Ovis aries: one gene and its partners. The protein of the gene in region 1 interacts with the protein of each later gene in a biochemical or structural test. Links are inferred from orthologs where the notes say so. Each region holds a gene or a part of one and is shown on either strand. Other genes may lie near its edges.

Region 1 (4,898 bases):
AGAAATATTAACATTCTCTACTTTTTTTTCTCTCTCTGGGATATTCCTTGGATCAGGGATCGAACCTGTGTCTTCTGCACTGGCAGGCGGATTCTTTACCAGAGCCACCAGGGAAGCCCCAACCTTGTCTATTTTATAGGGTCTCCTGAACAGCAAATGAAACTGTGAATGTAAATGAAAAGTTCATCTCAATGGGGAACAAATGATCAGGATGGAAGGAGGGTGTCATAAATGAAGAAAGGAAAAGGATCTTCCAGTGAGCAATGTTCTAAATTTAATGAAAATCCAAAAGATTAGACCAAACTGAAAAGCATAAAGGAAGGACTTAAAACTGCCACCTCCTCCTTAGCACACACGCACAAATACAGCCCTCCTCCCAGCTGTTGCCCTGAGGTGACCATAGCCAACTTGGGAAAGGAGCTCCAAAACATTTCCATTTTCATGTCTTCACATACATCTAACGGAAATGAACCGCACCCATCCATCCATCCATGAAGGCTATTTTTAAAAGAAGAGGGACAGAAAAATGAATTCAATACTAATTCAGTAAGTACTTAACCGTCCACTGTGTGCCAAGCACTGGTTGGCGGGGACGATATAGAGGAAAACCAAACCAATAAAGTTTCCGTTAAGGTCTTGAGGAAAATGGTAAACAAGAAAAAAAAAAAAAAACCAACTATTAATAGCAAAACAATTTCTGACAGCTGCTAGGAAGAAAATAAAATAGTGAGGGACCAGAGGCAGGAAGGAGAGACACAACTTCCCGAAGGTGTCTGAGAGGTGACGTTTGAGACCAGACTAAAATGACTAGTGCCTTCCGGTGACTTGACGCCGAAATATTCCGAGAAAAGAGAATTAAAAGCAAAAATGATCCACAAACCAAGAAATAACAGGAATTTCACAGCGCCAAAGTGAGCGGCGCAAACCAGAACCTATGAATTCCGGAGCGGCGGGAGAGTTTGAATATTCATGTCCAATCAGGGAAAGGCTGAGACCAGGCAGCGCGGGCTCAGTATGAAGTATCCCGAACCGCTGGTGTCCACAGGAAGCCACATCGCAAGGGCCTAATTCGTGATCCGGCACCCACGCAGCTGCCAAACTCGCAATTCTTCAGGGCTGTGATGCAGTGTTCGAAAGACCCGGGCTTGGTCGTGTCCTGGGGTCCTTTCTTAAATGTGGATAGCTGAAATCACTCACTTCGTTTTGGAACACCGGTGACACGTACCCAACAGAGCCACCAGGACACAAGTCTAGGAGCAGTCTCAGTATCCTAATTTAGAACTGACTCATACGAAAGCTAAGCAGCAGTGAGGGTTAAGACGCGCCCTAGATTCAAAAGCAAAGCCAGTCACGCGCCAGGAATCTCAAGTCATAAGGGCTTAAAAAGCTACGTGTGTCATCTTCTATTACTTTTAGCCAACTAGAGTAACTTACTTTGTGAGGAACTGAGGAGAAACAAGTGAACAAGGCTCTTTTCTGGTGATTAGGTGGGTGGCTCTGAAAAGAGCCTTTGGAAAATCAAGCGGCTTTGCGACTCGTGCGAGCGCCGCGTCCCAGCAGGGACTCACTTGGAGCTGGTGTACTTGGTGACCGCCTTGGTGCCCTCGGACACGGCATGCTTGGCCAGCTCGCCAGGCAGCAGCAGGCGCACGGCCGTCTGGATCTCCCGAGACGTGATGGTTGAGCGCTTGTTGTAATGCGCCAAGCGCGACGCTTCGCCCGCGATGCGCTCGAAGATGTCGTTGACAAATGAGTTCATGATGCCCATGGCCTTGGACGAAATACCGGTGTCTGGGTGCACCTGCTTCAGCACCTTGTACACGTAGATGGAATAGCTCTCCTTGCGGCTGCGCTTGCGCTTCTTGCCGTCTTTCTTTTGGGCTTTGGTGACGGCTTTCTTGGAGCCCTTCTTGGGCGCGGGAGCGGATTTTGCCGGCTCAGGCATTGTGAAGCAACGCCGTTTGGCAAAAAAAGAGGTATGAGAATGGGCGGGCCTGATCCATTTATAACCACCGTATGCAAATTAAGGCTCCAAAAGTCTTACATTCCCATTGGTCCGTGGAGAGACCTTACGTTATCAGTAATAGCTACAGAATAACACCGACTCTTAACCTTATTGGCTGTTTCAGGAGCCAATTTGGGACCAATGAAAAGCTCGTTCCTGACCCCACCCCTCAGAAAACTTATAAAGGCTTTCCAATTGCTGATCTTTCTTAAACATTTGCCGAGGGGCTTTGATCTTTAAGGGTACTACTGTTATCTTTAGTCATGTCTGGTCGCGGAAAGCAGGGAGGCAAGGCCCGGGCGAAGGCCAAGTCGCGTTCGTCCCGTGCAGGCTTGCAGTTCCCGGTAGGGCGAGTGCATCGCCTGCTGCGCAAAGGCAACTACGCTGAGCGGGTGGGGGCCGGCGCGCCCGTCTACATGGCGGCGGTTCTGGAGTATCTGACGGCCGAGATCCTGGAGCTTGCCGGCAACGCGGCGCGAGACAACAAAAAGACGCGCATCATTCCTCGTCACCTGCAGCTGGCCATCCGCAACGACGAAGAGCTGAACAAGCTGTTAGGCAAGGTTACCATCGCGCAAGGCGGCGTTTTGCCCAACATCCAGGCCGTTTTATTACCAAAGAAAACCGAAAGCCATAAAGCCAAAAGCAAATAAAGCCTTACAAAGTAAACCAAAGAACAAAGGCTCTTTTTAGAGCCACCCAAGTTTTCAAAAAAAGAGCTAATGCGCTATTTTGTGATCAGCCCTTTATTTTGACACTTTGGTGGTGGCTCTTAAAAGAGCCTTTGGGGTGAGTGGGGATGGTATCAAGCCTCTTAATTACTTATTCTTGCCAGGCTTGTGACTCTCCGTTTTTTTGGGCAATAAGACTGCCTGGATATTGGGTAAGACACCGCCCTGGGCAATAGTGACACCCCCGAGTAACTTGTTGAGCTCTTCATCATTTCTCACGGCCAGTTGCAAATGGCGAGGGATGATGCGCGTCTTCTTGTTGTCTCGGGCGGCGTTGCCCGCCAGCTCCAGGATTTCCGCGGTCAGGTACTCCAGCACTGCCGCCAAGTACACCGGTGCGCCGGCCCCCACCCTTTCGGCGTAGTTCCCTTTGCGCAGCAGGCGGTGCACTCGCCCTACAGGGAACTGAAGGCCAGCGCGGGATGAGCGCGACTTGGCCTTGGCCCGAGCTTTGCCTCCCTGCTTTCCGCGGCCTGACATTACTGCTAAAACTGCAGTTACAGCTTCTTTTTCAAGGAGAACGATATGGCAAGGGTAACCAATTTGATGTAATTTATAAGAGCTACCGGGAGGGGTGAAGGGAAGTGGTTTGATTGGCTAAAAGCGGAGTCCGATCGAACAGCCAATAGGAAAGCGAAGAGCAGACTCTTCGTTTGCATCTTGGGCTACGAGGAAATGACGGCTTCTATAAGTACCTACCAATCGTTGTGAGCCATATTAAAGCCCTTTATTTGCATGCCAGGGTTTTTAAAGTGAAGGCTTTCAAACAAAACGCTCTTCTGTTTTGCTTTATTTACTGAGCGGCAATTTTTTCCTAGGTTACGGGTGGTAGGTTTTTTCCGGTTTCCCAAAAAGGATTTTAAAGGGCTGCAGAGAGCCTTTAGCAGATGCAGTTACTCCCACTCAAGGGCCTTGGAACCTTAAATTACTAAGTTCCTCCTTTTCTGGCTCGTCAAAGCCAGACTACCTTAAAAAATACAAAACTACTGAGGCCTCTTCTTTTCTTTCAATTTAGTTGTTGCCTGCGGTGTGGCTTCGCCCCATCCCCACCCGTCTGTTCCTCAGACTCCGGTTTAATCGAGGGCATTTCCTTCTCAGAGGATCTTCCCGACCCAGAGATCGAATCCGGGGTCTCCAGCATTGCAGGCAGGTGGATTCCTTACGGTCTGAGCCACCAGGGAAGCCCAGAATAGTATGTCATCCTCCTCTTGACCTCTAGGAGGCGTCCCAAACCGCTTTCAACTTGAAGGCGTCTTTCCCTTGGCATTCAAAATGTCGCCCTCCGTCTTTCCTCATTCTGCTGCTTTTCCCCCTGTCCGTGTTTAAATCCCAGTGTTAAGCTCGGCTCTGCCTCCGTATTCGCCCTTTCCGCACACTTCATTCTTCACTCTTCCCGAAGTCGTACCCAATTCAGTGCTTTCATCTAGTATTTGCTGCAGAAGCTCAGGCCTGTATACCTGTTAACTGGATACTTCAACCTGTCTGTCCCTATAACTCGACCTATCCAAAAGCAAACTCATCCAGTCACCTGCCACCACCACCACCCCCCCCCAACTCCCCCCCCCCCCCCCCCCCCCCACCCCCCCCCCCCCCCCCCCCCCCCCCCCCCCCCCCCCCCCCCCCCCGCCAGCTCCCTTCTCTTTGTTCTTTCCCTGAATTGCTCCAACAGTCTGCCCGGTACCTGAGCTAACATCTACAGTTTCCTGCACCTTACAGCATATATTCATGAATATTCCTGAGTATTCATTGGAGGGACTGATGTTGAAGCTGAAAGTCTAATACTTCGGCCGCCTGATGCAAAGAACTGACTCATTGGAAAAGACCCTGATGCTGGGAAAGGTTGAAGGCGGGAGGAGAAAGGGACTGCAGAGGATGAGATGGTTGGATGGTATCACCGACTCAATGGACATGAGTTTGAGTAAACTCCAGGAGCTGGCGATGGACAGGGAGGCCTGGCATGCTACAGTCCATGGGGTCGCGAAGAGTCGGACACGACTGAGCGACTTCACTTTCACTTTTCACTTTCATGCATTGGAGAAGGAAATGGCAACCCACTCTAGTATTCTGGCCTGGAGAATCCCAGGGACGAGGGAGCCTGGTGGGCTGCCGTCTATGGGGTCGATTTAGCAGGTCGATTTAATACCTAATACAATGTAAATGTC
Region 2 (6,418 bases), about 92 Mb from region 1:
GATCATGAATTACTGAGACCTGTTCTAGGGCAAGCTCTGTGGCCAGGCTTAGATCACAAAACTGCTTGGATAAACAATGGCTTTTCTTATGTCAAGAGATCCAAGTCTTGTTCTCTTTCACTGGAAACCTCTAACCCAATCTGTTTAAAGTTCTCCTAGTATGTTTATACTTCTTTGAATTATCCTAATAAAATTCACTTTATGGCTGCACATAGAGAGTTCTACTGCTTAAGAAGTGCCCACATTTTTTGTAGGTTCACTTCAATGGAATTGAATATTTTATACAGCTACGTCATTGAAGTACTTGTCCACTTGCACACTTGTGTGCTTGAGAAGCTGCCAGATCTGGTGAGAAGTCTTCCCACCTTAGCCTCCATCCTTAGACGAAAAGTCACGAACAAGCGCATCAGAGTTGTATGGGAGTCTGTTCTGGAGAAGTATGGGTTGCAAGAAGCAGATATCACAGCACTGTGTATCTTCTTTGTAGCACATGGTAACAAGGCAGAACACTACATTGCTAAAGTAAGGCAGATGTATATAAGAGATATCAATTTCATGATCTCTAATATGGTAAAGAACCAGGCTCTGCAGGATGGTTTGCTGAAGGCTGTGCAGGTCATTGAGAAGGGGAAAGCAGAAATGGCCCCTCAAGAGAAAAAGTCAACCCTAAAAGAGTTGATACCATCAGTCAAAAGCTAATCTGTTACACTGGACTCAGAGATTCCATGTCTAGTATAATTTATCTTGCAAATGGGAAGCAATACATATACACAATTTAATACAGGCTTATTTTTATAGCAAAAGTGAAAAGTGTTAAATCATAATACACTGGTACAATGGATACTTTCTGTGTAGCAATATAAAAGAATGAAGAAGCTTTCATGTAACTGTATAGTAACACAGAGTTATCGCCAAGATGTGTTTTAAAATATTTCCAACATTATTGCTCAGTGGGAAAAAAAGGGCAAAAACAAATACATAGGCTACTATATCTATAAACTTCTGGAGAAATACATTAAAAAGGGGTAACATTGTTTGTCTTAGGGAAGAAAACTAATTAGAGGCTAGGGATCAAAGGCAGGAAGAAGTCTTTTCACTGTTAATTCATTTTGTACTTTATGAATTTTGAAACATGTGAATGTATGATGTAGTAAATTAAAAAAATCTACTGTATTTCGTATGTTGATGTGTATTTTCTTTCTGGTACAGTTCCATAGGTATTTTATACTAGAAAGGGAATTCCCACACAGTGATCATATATTTTATAATCTTTTTTAAACAAATGCCATGCAATATGTAGTGTCAACAATAGAAACATTTTAAAGTATGGATCCTGCCCTACAGGCAAAAGTTACTTAATTTAGAAGGTACAAATTCAGGACAACCAGAATGAGTAACACCTTGGAGGGAAGTTAGGTAGAGAAGGATAAATAATACAAGATGTGTTACCTTGCTGGTTCCTCCTTGAAAATAGGTTGGTTGCCAGATACATGCACTTAGTCTTATCCTTCTCCAGACACATTGTTTAGAGAAACCATGCCACAAAAGAGAGAGAGACTGGAACTATGTCTTGGAAGTGTTACTAAATCAAACTTGGGTCTGCAACAAAGCCAATCTACTGACATGCGGTTGTGTTAAGATAAAGTACAGCATTTATTGCAGGGCACCAAATAAAGAGAACAGGCAGCTTGTGCTTGAACAGACAGCATTACCAAGTCCGAGCTGGTTCTACTCACTGACCAATAAGATGGCAAACTAATGTCTCAAAATAACCATCCTATCTGGGTCTGGATGCCAGGTTCTTTTACAGAATGAGTGGGGTGGAGGGGGTGGGGTGAGGAAGAGAAGTAAAAAGCCCCTTCTTCTTGCAAGTATCTCCTAGAATGGCAAGTCTGGGGAAGGTATGTGTCAATTTCTTCCTTCCTGTAGCCATCCACAGGTGAGCAGGGTCCTGAACAAAGGTCCTGATTTAACAGTCAGGCAGAGGGGCAAGGTTCCCTGAGGCAGGCCATCATGTATAAACAGTACAGAAGGGTACTACAGAAAGGTAGGCTGAGGAGTACAGAGGGAAGAATTTTCAAGTTACCGCTCGGGTCTCAGTTTGTTTTGAGGTTTCCCTTTTTCTGCCCAGAGTCCAATCTTGCGACACTGCCCGGTTTCCGCCGTCCCCGGGAGCAGAACCACGCGAGAAAATTAGAGCCACAACGACCCGAGGGGGGCGGTGGCTCACCGGTAAAAGAACCCGCCAATGCAGGAGCCGCAGGAGACAGGGGTTCCATTCCAGGTTTGGGAAGATCACCTGGAAAAGGGCATGACAACCCGCTCCATTATTCTTGCCTCAAGAATCCCAAGGACAGAGGAATCTTTCGGGCCATAGACGATAGTGACGCAGAGTCCAAAAGGACTGGACCGACTTAGCAAGCAAGCACACACGCCTAGCAAGGGGAGGGGCGGGCTCTCTCCCGGCCGGGGGGGCGGGGCCAGCAGGGCAGGCAGTGCGCGCGCAGGCCCGGAAGTCCCGTCTGCGGAATGTTAGCTGTCTGTATCCTTTGTCGGTTTTGTATGGTGGGAGGGGCTGTTTTGGCGGGCAGTCGTGACGCCACTAGCCCTTGCGGGATTCTAAGGCGCCGCCGCTAAGATTAGGCTTTCTGGCTGACTTTAGAGAGGACAAGGGGTGGGCTCAGAATCCGAGTAAGGCGCGAACGCGGACCCGCAGCAGCGGTGAAACGGAAGTCCTGCTCCAACGGAGCCCGCGTCCGGGGGGAGCTGCAGTCTTCCTCGAGCGATGGCCCGAGGGCTGTGCGCCTCGGCGGCCTCCGTCTTGGCTGCCAGGAGCTAAGGGCGCGTTCTCACCTGGTAAGTGGGAGGAGGGGAACTTGGCGCGTGAGCTGGAGCCCACTTTCCGCCCTGCTGCAATGATTGTTAATGCCTGGGAGCAGCCAAGATTCATTTGTTTTCTTTCCGGATGTTTATCTTAAACATGGACAAATACACCGCCTTCCAGGGTCGTACTGTTTACCTGACCTGTAGAACACCATTTTTACTTCTAGACATTTGATGCTTTCAGTCTCTGAATTATGGCAGACTACTGGGCATAATATTTAAAACGCAAAACTGTTACTTTGCTTTTTTCTTATTCGGACCGGAAACAAGATTCTTTCTCTTTCAGGTATTGATGTTGAATATGCCTTATTAGCATATTAAAATGGCTGTACGCAAAGACTCCATCCCTTCCTTGTTAGAATGTCAATGCCAAATCTGTGTGGAAATCCTCTTTGAGCCTGTGACACTGCCTTGTAACCACACGCTCTGTAAACCATGTTTCGAATCGACTGTCGAAAAGGCAAGTTTGTGCTGTCCCTTCTGTCGCCGCCGGGTCTCTTCGTGGGCTCGGTACCGTACCCGAACAAATTCTCTTGTTAATATGGAACTGTGGGAGACAATTCAAAAACACTATCCAAAGGAATGCAAGCTAAGAGCCTCTGGGCAAGAATCAAAGGAAATTGGTGAGTAAAACCCAGCGCGTTTGTTGTCTAAAAACCAAGGTCATTTTGAAAGCCAACGGCCACTAATCCATTTTTTAAAGGATGAAACAGAGAGCCAGTTAGTATTTGTCTAAAATTTTCAGAGGTATTTGGGGTTTTTTGGCCTCAAAATGTTGATTAAGGTCAATGGCAAGATTTTGTTCATTGCCCAGCCTGTGTTCACTTGGTGTTTGTTCGATTAAAAATGAAAAGAAAAACCCAAAACAAAAGAATTGCCCGATAGTCTTCAGTCGGTGTGAAAAGTTATATAAATAGTCTCAGAGGAGCCACAATCGCAGTATAGCAACAGCAGAAGTAAGGATTCTTGTGTTAATGTCTTTTTCACTTTCAATTATTTTCTCTAACTTGCTTGCCTATATATTGCCATTCATTTAATTCTTAAGCTTGCAGGGAGCCTAAAACAGCTTTCTGTGGCTATCTAGTTCAGCCGTTTTTATTCAAAGGTCCTCCACAGTGTGGACTCTTCTTTATGCCCCAAACTGAACACTTTATGTGCTCAATAAGTCATGCGATGTTTTTTGTTTAGGCTTTGAATGCAATGCTTAATACTTACCTTTTTTTGAAATTCTTTTTACTTATTGTCAGTTCAGTTCAGTTCAGTTCAGTCCCTCAGTCATGTCTGACTCTTTGTGACTCCAGGGCCTGCAGCACAACCAGGCTTCCCTGTCCCATCATCAATTCCTGAAGCTTGCTCAAATTCATGTCCGTTGAGCTGGTGATGCCATCCAACCATCTCATCCTCTGTTGATCCCCTTCTCCTCCTGTCCTCAATCTTGCCCAGCATCAGGGTCTTTTCCAGTTAGTCAGTTCTTCCCACCAGGTGGCCAAAGTATTGGAGTTTCAGCTTCAGCATCAGTCCTTCCAGTGAATATCCAGGACTGATTTCCGTTAGGATGTACAGGTTCAATCTCCTTGCAGTCCAAGGGACTCTCAAGAGCCTTCTCCAGCACTACAGTTCAAAAACATCAATTCTTTGGCACTCAGCTTTCTTTATAGTCCAACTTTCACTTCCATACCTGACTACTGAAAAACCATAGCTTTGACTCTACAGACCTTTATTGGCAAAGTAATGTCTATGCTTTTTAATATGCTATCCAACTTGGTCTTAGCTTTTCTTAGTTTGCCATTTTTATCATTTTTAAGTGGACGCAGTAGTGTTAATTACATTCACAGTGTTTTGCAACCATCACCACTATGTTTCCAAAACTTTTTCATCACTTAGCAGCAGACAGACTCTAACCATTAAGCTATGACTCCCACTCTTCCCCACCCCCTTTCCAGAGTTCTCTGTGAATTTGCTTGTTTTTTTAATTTCTGTGAAGCCCCAGTAAAACACACACACCATCTGTTTAGCAGAATTAAACATCATAGACATCATTTACCACAGAATTAGCTCATAAAATGTTCCCATAAACCCCAAAAGATACCAGGACAAATCACCAAAATCAGATCTCCGTGGTATAAGCAAGAAGGAAGCATCTGGGCTGTTTGATGGATCTGAGAACAAAAGAACTTCAGAATAAGCAATAGGTATTCATTGGGAAGGGCTTCCCAGGTGCCTGGGCAGTAAAGAATCCACCTGCTGGATACAGGATGCTTGGGGCTGGTGCACTGGGATGACCCAGAGGGATGATATGGGGAGGGAGATGGGAGGGGGATTCAGGATGGGGAACATGTGTACACCCGTGGTGGATTCATGTTGATGTATGGCAAAACCAATACAATATTATAAAGTAATTAGCCTCCAATTAAAATAAATAAATTTAAAGTTAAAAAAACAAAAAGAACCACCTGCCAATGCAGGAGATGCGGGTTCAGCCCCTGGATCAGAAAGATCCCCTGGAGAAAGAAATGGCAACCCACTCCAGTGTTCTTGCCTGGGAAATCCCATAGACAGCGGAGCCTCATGGGCTACAGTCCATGGGGTCCCCCCAAAAATTAGACACAACTTAGCGACTCAACAACAGCAATATAAGTGTATTCATAAAATATGTGATCTGTTATGTCTGGCTTCTTTCACTTAGCATAATGTTTCCAAGGTTCATACAAGGTTCTATTATTTATTAGTACTTCATTCTTTTTTAGGGCTGAATAATTTTTATGTATATATTTTTTCATTCATTCATCAATGAACATTTGGGTAGTTTTCACCTTTTGGCTGTTTGAATGGGTGCTGATATGAATACTTATGCACAAGTATTTGTTTGAATATGTTTTCATTTTTTGTGTATATAGGAGTGGAGTTGCTGGATCATATGGTAATTCTATGTTTAGCCTTTTGAGGATCTGCCAAACTTTTTCACAGATCTGCATCATTTTAAATTCCCTTCACAATGTGTAATGGTTTCAATTTCTGCACATCCTAACCAACACTAGTTCTTTTCTGCTTTTTAAAAAATTTTTTTCATTTTTTATAGCCATCCTAGGAGGTGTTAACTGGTATCTTAGTGTGTTTTTTAAAATGTGGTAAAGTATACATTACAAAATTTACCATTTTAACCATTTTTAGACGTTCAGTTCAAGGCATTGAGTACATTCACATAGGTGTGCAAGCATCACCATCATCCCTTTCCAGAACTTTTTCATCTTCAAAAACTGAAACTCTGTACCCATTGAACAATAATTCCTCAGTTCCTCTCCATCCAGCCCTTGGCATCACCACTGTTACTTCTTGTCTCTATGATTTAACTACTTTATGTACCTTATATAAGTAGAATCATAGTAGCTATTTGTAGCTTTTTTTGTCCCTTCCCTCCTGCCCTCCCTTTCTCTTTTTCTCCTCTCTCTCTTTTTCCCAGTATGGGCAATTTGGCGACTTCATTTAAAAAAAATAATCCAAGTATAATTACCTTACAATGTTATATTAGGTTCAC
Region 3 (6,625 bases), about 28 Mb from region 1:
AGTGTCATTAAATAATCTTTCTCCAACTTTTATGGAACATTTCAAGCATTACAGCAAAGTTGAGAGAATTTCAAGTGAAGCAATTCACAAAGAAAGGAGGAGGAAGTTGATTTTGCTCCCCAAAGGATTTTTGGAATGTCTGAAGACATTTTGAGTTGTCACAACTGGACAGGTGTGTGCTTTGGGTACCTAATGGGTAGAATCCAGAGATACTGCTCAACTTAGCAGGGTGCACCAGGGTACACCAGGGTTCCCCCCTACAAAAAATTTGCTGGTCTAAAATGCTGGTAGTGCTAAGGTTAAGAAACTGACCTCAACAATGCCTAACTAGCTTTGTCATAAATCTAATTCAGCCATCCCATCTCTTATGCCTTTCAAAGTAAACTGCAGACATTAGTCTACTTCTAAGTACTTAAGCATACATAACATTAGGATTTCAATTATGTAGGGTTTTTTTAAGTAAAAAGGAAATATATATCTTAAATGTATATTTGCTGAGTTTTGGCAAATTCATACACCTTGGTAACTCAAATCCTATTAAAATGTAGAACATTACAGCACCCCAGAAAATTCTTTCAGATTCCTTCCCAGTCAGTCCTCAAGGAACTCAACAGGCAACTATTAGTCTCTCTCTTTTTTTTTTTTTTCCTCCACACCATAATTAGTTTTGCCTGTTCTAGAACTTAATACGGGGAAGACAATGGCACCCCACTCGAGTACTCTTGCCTGGAAAATCCCATGTATGGAGGAGCCTGGTGCCCTACAGTCCATGGGGTTGCTAAGAGTCGGACACGACTGAAGTGACTTAGCAGCAGCAGCAGAACTTAATAGAGATGGAATTATCCAGTAGGTACCTTTGTGTAAGGCTTCATTGTGTGTATCCATGTTCTTGTGTGTATCAGTAATTTCTTTTATTCCTTAGCTGTATCCACTCAGTGACTATACCTTAGTTCTTCCATTCCTCTTTTGATGGAGACATGGGCTGTTTGCAGTTTTTTGGCTATTATGAGTAAGGTGTGAATAGTCAAGTACCAGCATTTCTCATGACTGAATTTCTTTAGTAAGTATTAAGCATTATGTTCCAAATACTTCTAGGTTCTAGAGATATAGCCAGGAGATATAGAAGAAGACAAAGATGCCCCCATCTCAAAGAGCTTAGGTCTGCTTGTTTCTGGGGCAGGGGAGAAAGGAAATGGCACCCTACTCCAGTATTCTTGCCTGGAAATCCCACAGGAGGCTGGCGGGCTACAGTCCATGGAGTCGAAAAGAGTCAGTTAAGACAGTAACACACACACCTAAGGTCAGGGTGGTGGGGCAGGGAGTAAATACATAGGTAACTATGAAACAAAGATACCAGGTGGTGATAAATGCTGGGTAGAGAAGTAAAATAAGGTGATGTGAGCGATAGGGTAGCCATGTTACCTATGTTTTTCAGCCAATTTCTTTATGTGAAAGTGACTTTTAAAGTGTGAACAGAATTAAAAGCTCAAAAGTGAATGGCATTCTAGGTGTGGTACAATGGCCCTAAGGCCATTTTAGAAAAGGGGGGGAAAAAAAAGGTCTTTGTGCTAAATTAAAAAATTATATAAGCAGTATAGAGCAGGAGAGCCGTTTACCCCCCAAATTTAACCATCATTACTCTGGCCAATTCGACAGGTTAGGGTGCCCCTTTCTTAACCTACTTTTATCAGATTACTAATAACGATAACTATTTATTCATATCATGTTTTTATTGTGAATTACCTGTTTATATCCTTTGCCTGCTTTTCTATTGGGACCTGCATCTTTTCCCCTAGCGATTATTGTGTCTTCTGCATAGGACTAAACTCCAAGGCGACCAAAGCCTATGTTTATTTCACTTTACAGAGGGCTTGGCACTTAACCTATTTCTAATGCATAAACAGTAAATATTTGTAAATTTTACCTTGTCAGCAAGGTTATTTCCAGACTATATACTCAATTTTAGAAGGCCGGCTGGTCAGAATTCGGGAAAATGAGTAAAATTTAAATGTCCCCCTTCAAATGTGATGTGTTTGAGTAAGGAGACTCAAATGTCTGACCACCCCCAGGTACCAATACTTTAGAACTGTTTACCCAGAGTCGCTCAGTCGTGTCCGACTTTTTGTGACCCATGGACTGTAGCCCACCAGGCCCCTCTGTCCATGGGATTCTTCAGGCAAGAATACTGAAGTGGGTTGCCATTTCCTTCTCCAGGGAATCTTCCCAACCCAGGGATCGAACCCAGGTCTCCTGCACTGCAAGCAGACGCTTTAACCTCTGAGCCACCAGGGAAGTCTCCTTAGAACTATTTAAATAACCCAATAACCACAGTGGGTCCAGTGGTAAAGAACTCGCCTGCCAATGCCGGAGACACAAGAGACATGGGTTTGATCCCTTGATTGAGAAGATCCCTTGAGTAGGAAATGGCAACCACTTCGGTATTCTTGCCTGGAAAATTTTATGGACGAAAGGAACCTGATGAACTGCAGTGCACGGAGTCGCAAAGAGTCCGCAAGACTGAGCGCACATGTACCTAATTACCGGAAGCGCCGGGGGCGGGGGGGAGGGGAATAAAAATCATTTGACAGCCGGGTCAGTCGCGAGCCACCACGTTCAGACTTCCGGCGCGAGTCCCGCGCAGGCGCCGATTAACTAGCGTCAGTGCCGCCGGGCCCAAGGGGCACAGCCGCTTCCCATAATGCCGCGTACCGGAAGTTGTTGCTTTCCAGGGGTCACGCTGGCTTCTGCTCTGTCGCTTTCAATTCGTCACCGGGGAGGAAGACGGAGCAGGCTGCCCGGCCCGAGGGCCCACTAGGGGATGCAGCCATGGGCGCTGTCGCTGTGGGTGAGTTCCGCTCCCACTGCCTTCGCAGTCACCACTCGCGTGACTTCCTCCGCACCCGGGAGCCCGAATTTTCCTGCCCCGACCTCGTTCTCTCCTCGAAGGCCCCTCTGCCTTTAAGCACGTTACCTGGCCTCGGCCCAGTACCGCGTTCTCATTGGCCTCACGTCCTGTCAGTTCCAGGAGCTGACCAATGAGTTGTCGGTGCTGGCGCCCTCCTCGACCCAGTGGACCCCGAGGTTCCCCCCGTGGGTGCGGAGCAGTTGGAAGGGAAGGGGAGGTGTGGCGGACTTCGTGAGGCCGGGGACTCTTCTTACGAGTTGGCGCTGAGTTTGCCGCCGTGTCCGCTTGTTGGTTATTAGGACAGGCAGGAGCTGTCGTCTAGACGATTCAGTGCTCCCAGGGTAGGACACATCTTCGCGAAACTTGAAAGCCCTGTTTTAGCCCCGCTGACAGAAGTTTTCCAAACGCATGCATGTTTAATGGATCCCAGGCAGGCGTGGGAAATACTGGAAGGGCGGAGAGGGAAGGGAACTGGGTTAATATGAGAGCCGGCAAGACCAGCTACTTTTGCTGGAGCCCTGCAAAGAGTAATTTGGCCCAGAAGGCAACGCTCATCTGAAGACTCGCCTGAGAAATTGAGTAGATTTATGGATGTTTTATAGATGATAATACTCAGTACTGTTTTCACAACTCATTAGATGCCCTTTATAGTTGTCAGAAATTTATTGGGAGCTCTTTTTTTCCACATTGAAGCAGTCCCCCTACTGTCCTCTGCCTGCAGCAATTACAGTTCGTCTTTCAAGTTTTCCTTTGGCGTCTGAGCGACTAGCAGGTCCCAAACCAGATTTGCTAGTGCTGTCTTCACTGCTGCAGAGTTCTTCCTTCTTTACCTTTTTCTTTCTCACCGGAATTTGTGTGCTTCATTCTTGTACACCTACCTTTTCACCTTATAATCGTCCTTAATGCCACAGGTACTATTCTCTTTTTCTGTCTTAATGCAAGTAGTATTTCTGGATCTGCTATATGTTAACACTATTCTAATGCTGTAGGTGATTCAGAAGTAAGGCCTAAAACACTTTCTTGCTCTTAGAACTTTAGATTCCAAATAGAGAAATGACCCATGTCCAGGTAAAAGATTTAAGAAGCATCTCACTTAGGTATCTGATTAGGGTACAAGATGAATAGCGCACACTGAATCCTGGGAAAGCAGAGTTGAGTGGTTTATTTAAAGTCAACTGGTTGCCTAAGGCTCCATTGAAATGAAAACCTTGGAGGAATGGGGAAGATTTGGATAGATGGAGCGAACTCCCAGCTAGAGAGTAAAGGCTTAGAGGTGGAAGGCAAGGTGTTTTGGAGTGGAGGGTTCAGAAGAGTCTGTGGGATTCTGCCTTGGAACCAAAAGATCTATGATTTAAGTTCCATTTCTGCCACCCTGTGATCTTTCATCATTTTGAGTTTACTTTAGCACAATGCTCCATTTAAAGGCTTTTGTGAAAATCAAATGAGATAATATTTATGAAAAGGCTTTGAAAATCCGAAGCACTGTATGACTAAACATTAGTGGCTCTTTTCTGAGAAGTAATGAGAGTCAGGGTTACGAGGGTGTTGAGGACAATTTATAAGGGACCATGAGTGCACAGCACAGGAGAGTGGGTCGAAAAACTGTCAAGTACTTTGAATCAGGAGAGTGATTTGATGCAAATGGCATCATTGGAAGACATTGTCTGTACTAGAATGCAGCACAGATTAGAGGGAGTTGGATTGGAGGGAGGCAAGAACTTGGGTGCTGTTCCTCCCCACCACCTCCGCCAAATCAGAATATACCCTCATTTTGTATATAACCATATAGTTGTATTCTGTTAATAAATACATTGGTTTTGTATAAATGAAACTTTGTTAATGTTTTATCTTTGAAAAGGGTAACAGTTAATGATTTGGCACTCATTTTTCTTACAAACCTTGTGGGATTACTGTGAATTACCCTCACACGTTAAGAACTAAAGGAGGAATATTTTTAAGACTGTAAACCAGAGCAAGATGACAGCTACCTTTCAGAATTAATTGGGAAGTGTTTTAAAAATATATGTCCCATGTCCTACTTTCCACTTATGGAATCAGAATTTTCATAAGCATCCCAGGTAAAATAATTATTATAGTCATTTAAGTAATTTTGACACTTAAGTTATTCTAATGTATGTAAACTACAACTTTTCAACATCATTATTAGGTAGACCTGTATGTACTTTCAGTATTTTTCATGTGTTCTGATTTTTAATTGTTGACTGAAGAGGTGATTTGATGGTAGCTAGATTTGTCATATTGCCTGGAAAAATCCCATGGATGAAGGAGCCTGGCAGGCTACAGTCCATGGGGTCACACGACTGAGTGACTTCACTTCACTTCAGATTTGTCATATTATTTCAAACTGATTTTGTCAAGAATATAATAATGTAGATGGCTGAGAATACAGATGTAGTCAGTTTTCAGTTAACATCCATAGGAAGTTCTGGTATGGGAAGATGCAGAACAGTGTATCATACTATATGGTTGGCTTTGAAACTATTTTGCAAATTTTCTAACTCCCTCTAGGAGATTGTTTTCAGAATTATTTTATTTTTCTTTGAGAAATTATAAATCTAATTGCATTGCCTGCAAGAACTAAGAAAGATAGCCTTGAAGAAAGGGAAATTAAAGTTTCAAAGTGCTACCACCATTCCACATTTATGTAGTGAGAAGTTGAGTTCCTAATAGTGTAAAGTGTTAAGACTTCACGATCTGTGTAAGAAGATACAAATTCTATCCAGACCTTTACATTTATTGAAAACCTCTTAACATTACTAAGAACCAGTTTCCTAAGCTATGAAAAATAGAGGTAATACTCTGCTTTGGGGGTTCTTATTGAAAACAATGATACATGTGAATGGTCTTTGTAACTTATAAAGTATGATAGATACACAAAATGATGTGGTTTAGTTCCGTTACTGTATCCTAGAGAACTGTAAAACTTTTTTTTTTTTTTTGGTCAAGCTAACTTTGTCTTGTTTTCTAGATTGTTATTTTGTGTCAGTAAGTAACCCCTAAAGTGCCAACATGGGAAAGAAACGGACAAAGGGAAAAACTGTTCCAATTGATGATTCTTCTGAATCTTTAGGTATATTTCACCAATTAAATCTTTAAAGTAATGTTTGTATCCCTAAATGGACATCTATTTTAATACGTAAAAATGGGATCAAAGTGTTTTGATTATGTTATTTTGTAATTTGCATTTTAACTTAATGTTTGTATAGACATGTAATTTAATAGTCTGCACAACATTTTTAATGGCGTGATATTTATTCCATTGATATAGAAGACTATGGGTACTTATTTCATGATTTATTTGAGTAATCCTCCACTGTTATAAATGTAGGTAATATGTAATTTTTCAGTGTTATGAATGGAGTGATAGTAAATATTTTTGTAGCTCAAACTGTGCACATCTGGTTATCTTCTTGGTACAGATGCTAAAATTAGAATTGCTGAACTGAGATATAAATATTTTCAAGATTCTTTTGGATCTATTGCCATTCAGAGATGTATTACTAATGTAGGGGCCCCCTAGCAGCATTTCTCTGAACCTTTAATGACACAGGTTGGTATTATTTGTAAAAATCTTTGCTGATTTGCTAGTTGAAAAAGAATATTTTCTTTTTTCAGTTTTTCTTGTTTTTGACAACTTACTGGGCTTTAGTAGTTTTTTTACATGGTCTCATTTGCATTTGTATTCTCTTGGTGCATATT

The links. The genes of interacting proteins can lie anywhere in the genome.
Region 2: of the proteins of histone H2A type 2-C (region 1) and RNF168, one has a biochemical effect on the other in vitro, tested with the Homo sapiens proteins (4 studies listed by BioGRID, with this or other methods). The link is inferred for Ovis aries from reciprocal best matches to the Homo sapiens genes H2AC20 and RNF168.
Region 3: of the proteins of histone H2A type 2-C (region 1) and USP16, one has a biochemical effect on the other in vitro, tested with the Homo sapiens proteins (2 studies listed by BioGRID). The link is inferred for Ovis aries from reciprocal best matches to the Homo sapiens genes H2AC20 and USP16.

What each region holds. Positions count from the first base shown.
Region 1 is NC_056054.1:99,991,585-99,996,482, forward strand, and holds histone H2A type 2-C, read left to right. Parts: upstream 1-2,215; 5' UTR 2,216-2,268; coding exon 2,269-2,658; 3' UTR 2,659-2,708; downstream 2,709-4,898. Other genes in the region: histone H2B type 2-E, read right to left, coding at 1,565-1,945; histone H2A type 2-B, read right to left, coding at 2,824-3,216. UniProt on the Homo sapiens protein: Core component of nucleosome. Nucleosomes wrap and compact DNA into chromatin, limiting DNA accessibility to the cellular machineries which require DNA as a template.
Region 2 is NC_056054.1:191,859,502-191,865,919, reverse strand, and holds the start of RNF168 (E3 ubiquitin-protein ligase RNF168), read left to right. Parts: upstream 1-2,520; 5' UTR 2,521-2,856; intron 2,857-3,169; 5' UTR 3,170-3,205; coding exon 3,206-3,506; intron 3,507-6,418. Other genes in the region: SMCO1 (single-pass membrane and coiled-coil domain-containing protein 1), read left to right, coding at 255-699. UniProt on the Homo sapiens protein: E3 ubiquitin-protein ligase required for accumulation of repair proteins to sites of DNA damage. Acts with UBE2N/UBC13 to amplify the RNF8-dependent histone ubiquitination.
Region 3 is NC_056054.1:127,738,082-127,744,706, reverse strand, and holds the start of USP16 (ubiquitin carboxyl-terminal hydrolase 16), read left to right. Parts: upstream 1-2,727; 5' UTR 2,728-2,845; exon of another isoform or gene 2,846-3,246; intron 3,247-3,626; exon of another isoform or gene 3,627-3,816; intron 3,817-5,894; 5' UTR 5,895-5,935; coding exon 5,936-5,996; intron 5,997-6,345; exon of another isoform or gene 6,346-6,476; intron 6,477-6,625. UniProt on the Homo sapiens protein: Specifically deubiquitinates 'Lys-120' of histone H2A (H2AK119Ub), a specific tag for epigenetic transcriptional repression, thereby acting as a coactivator.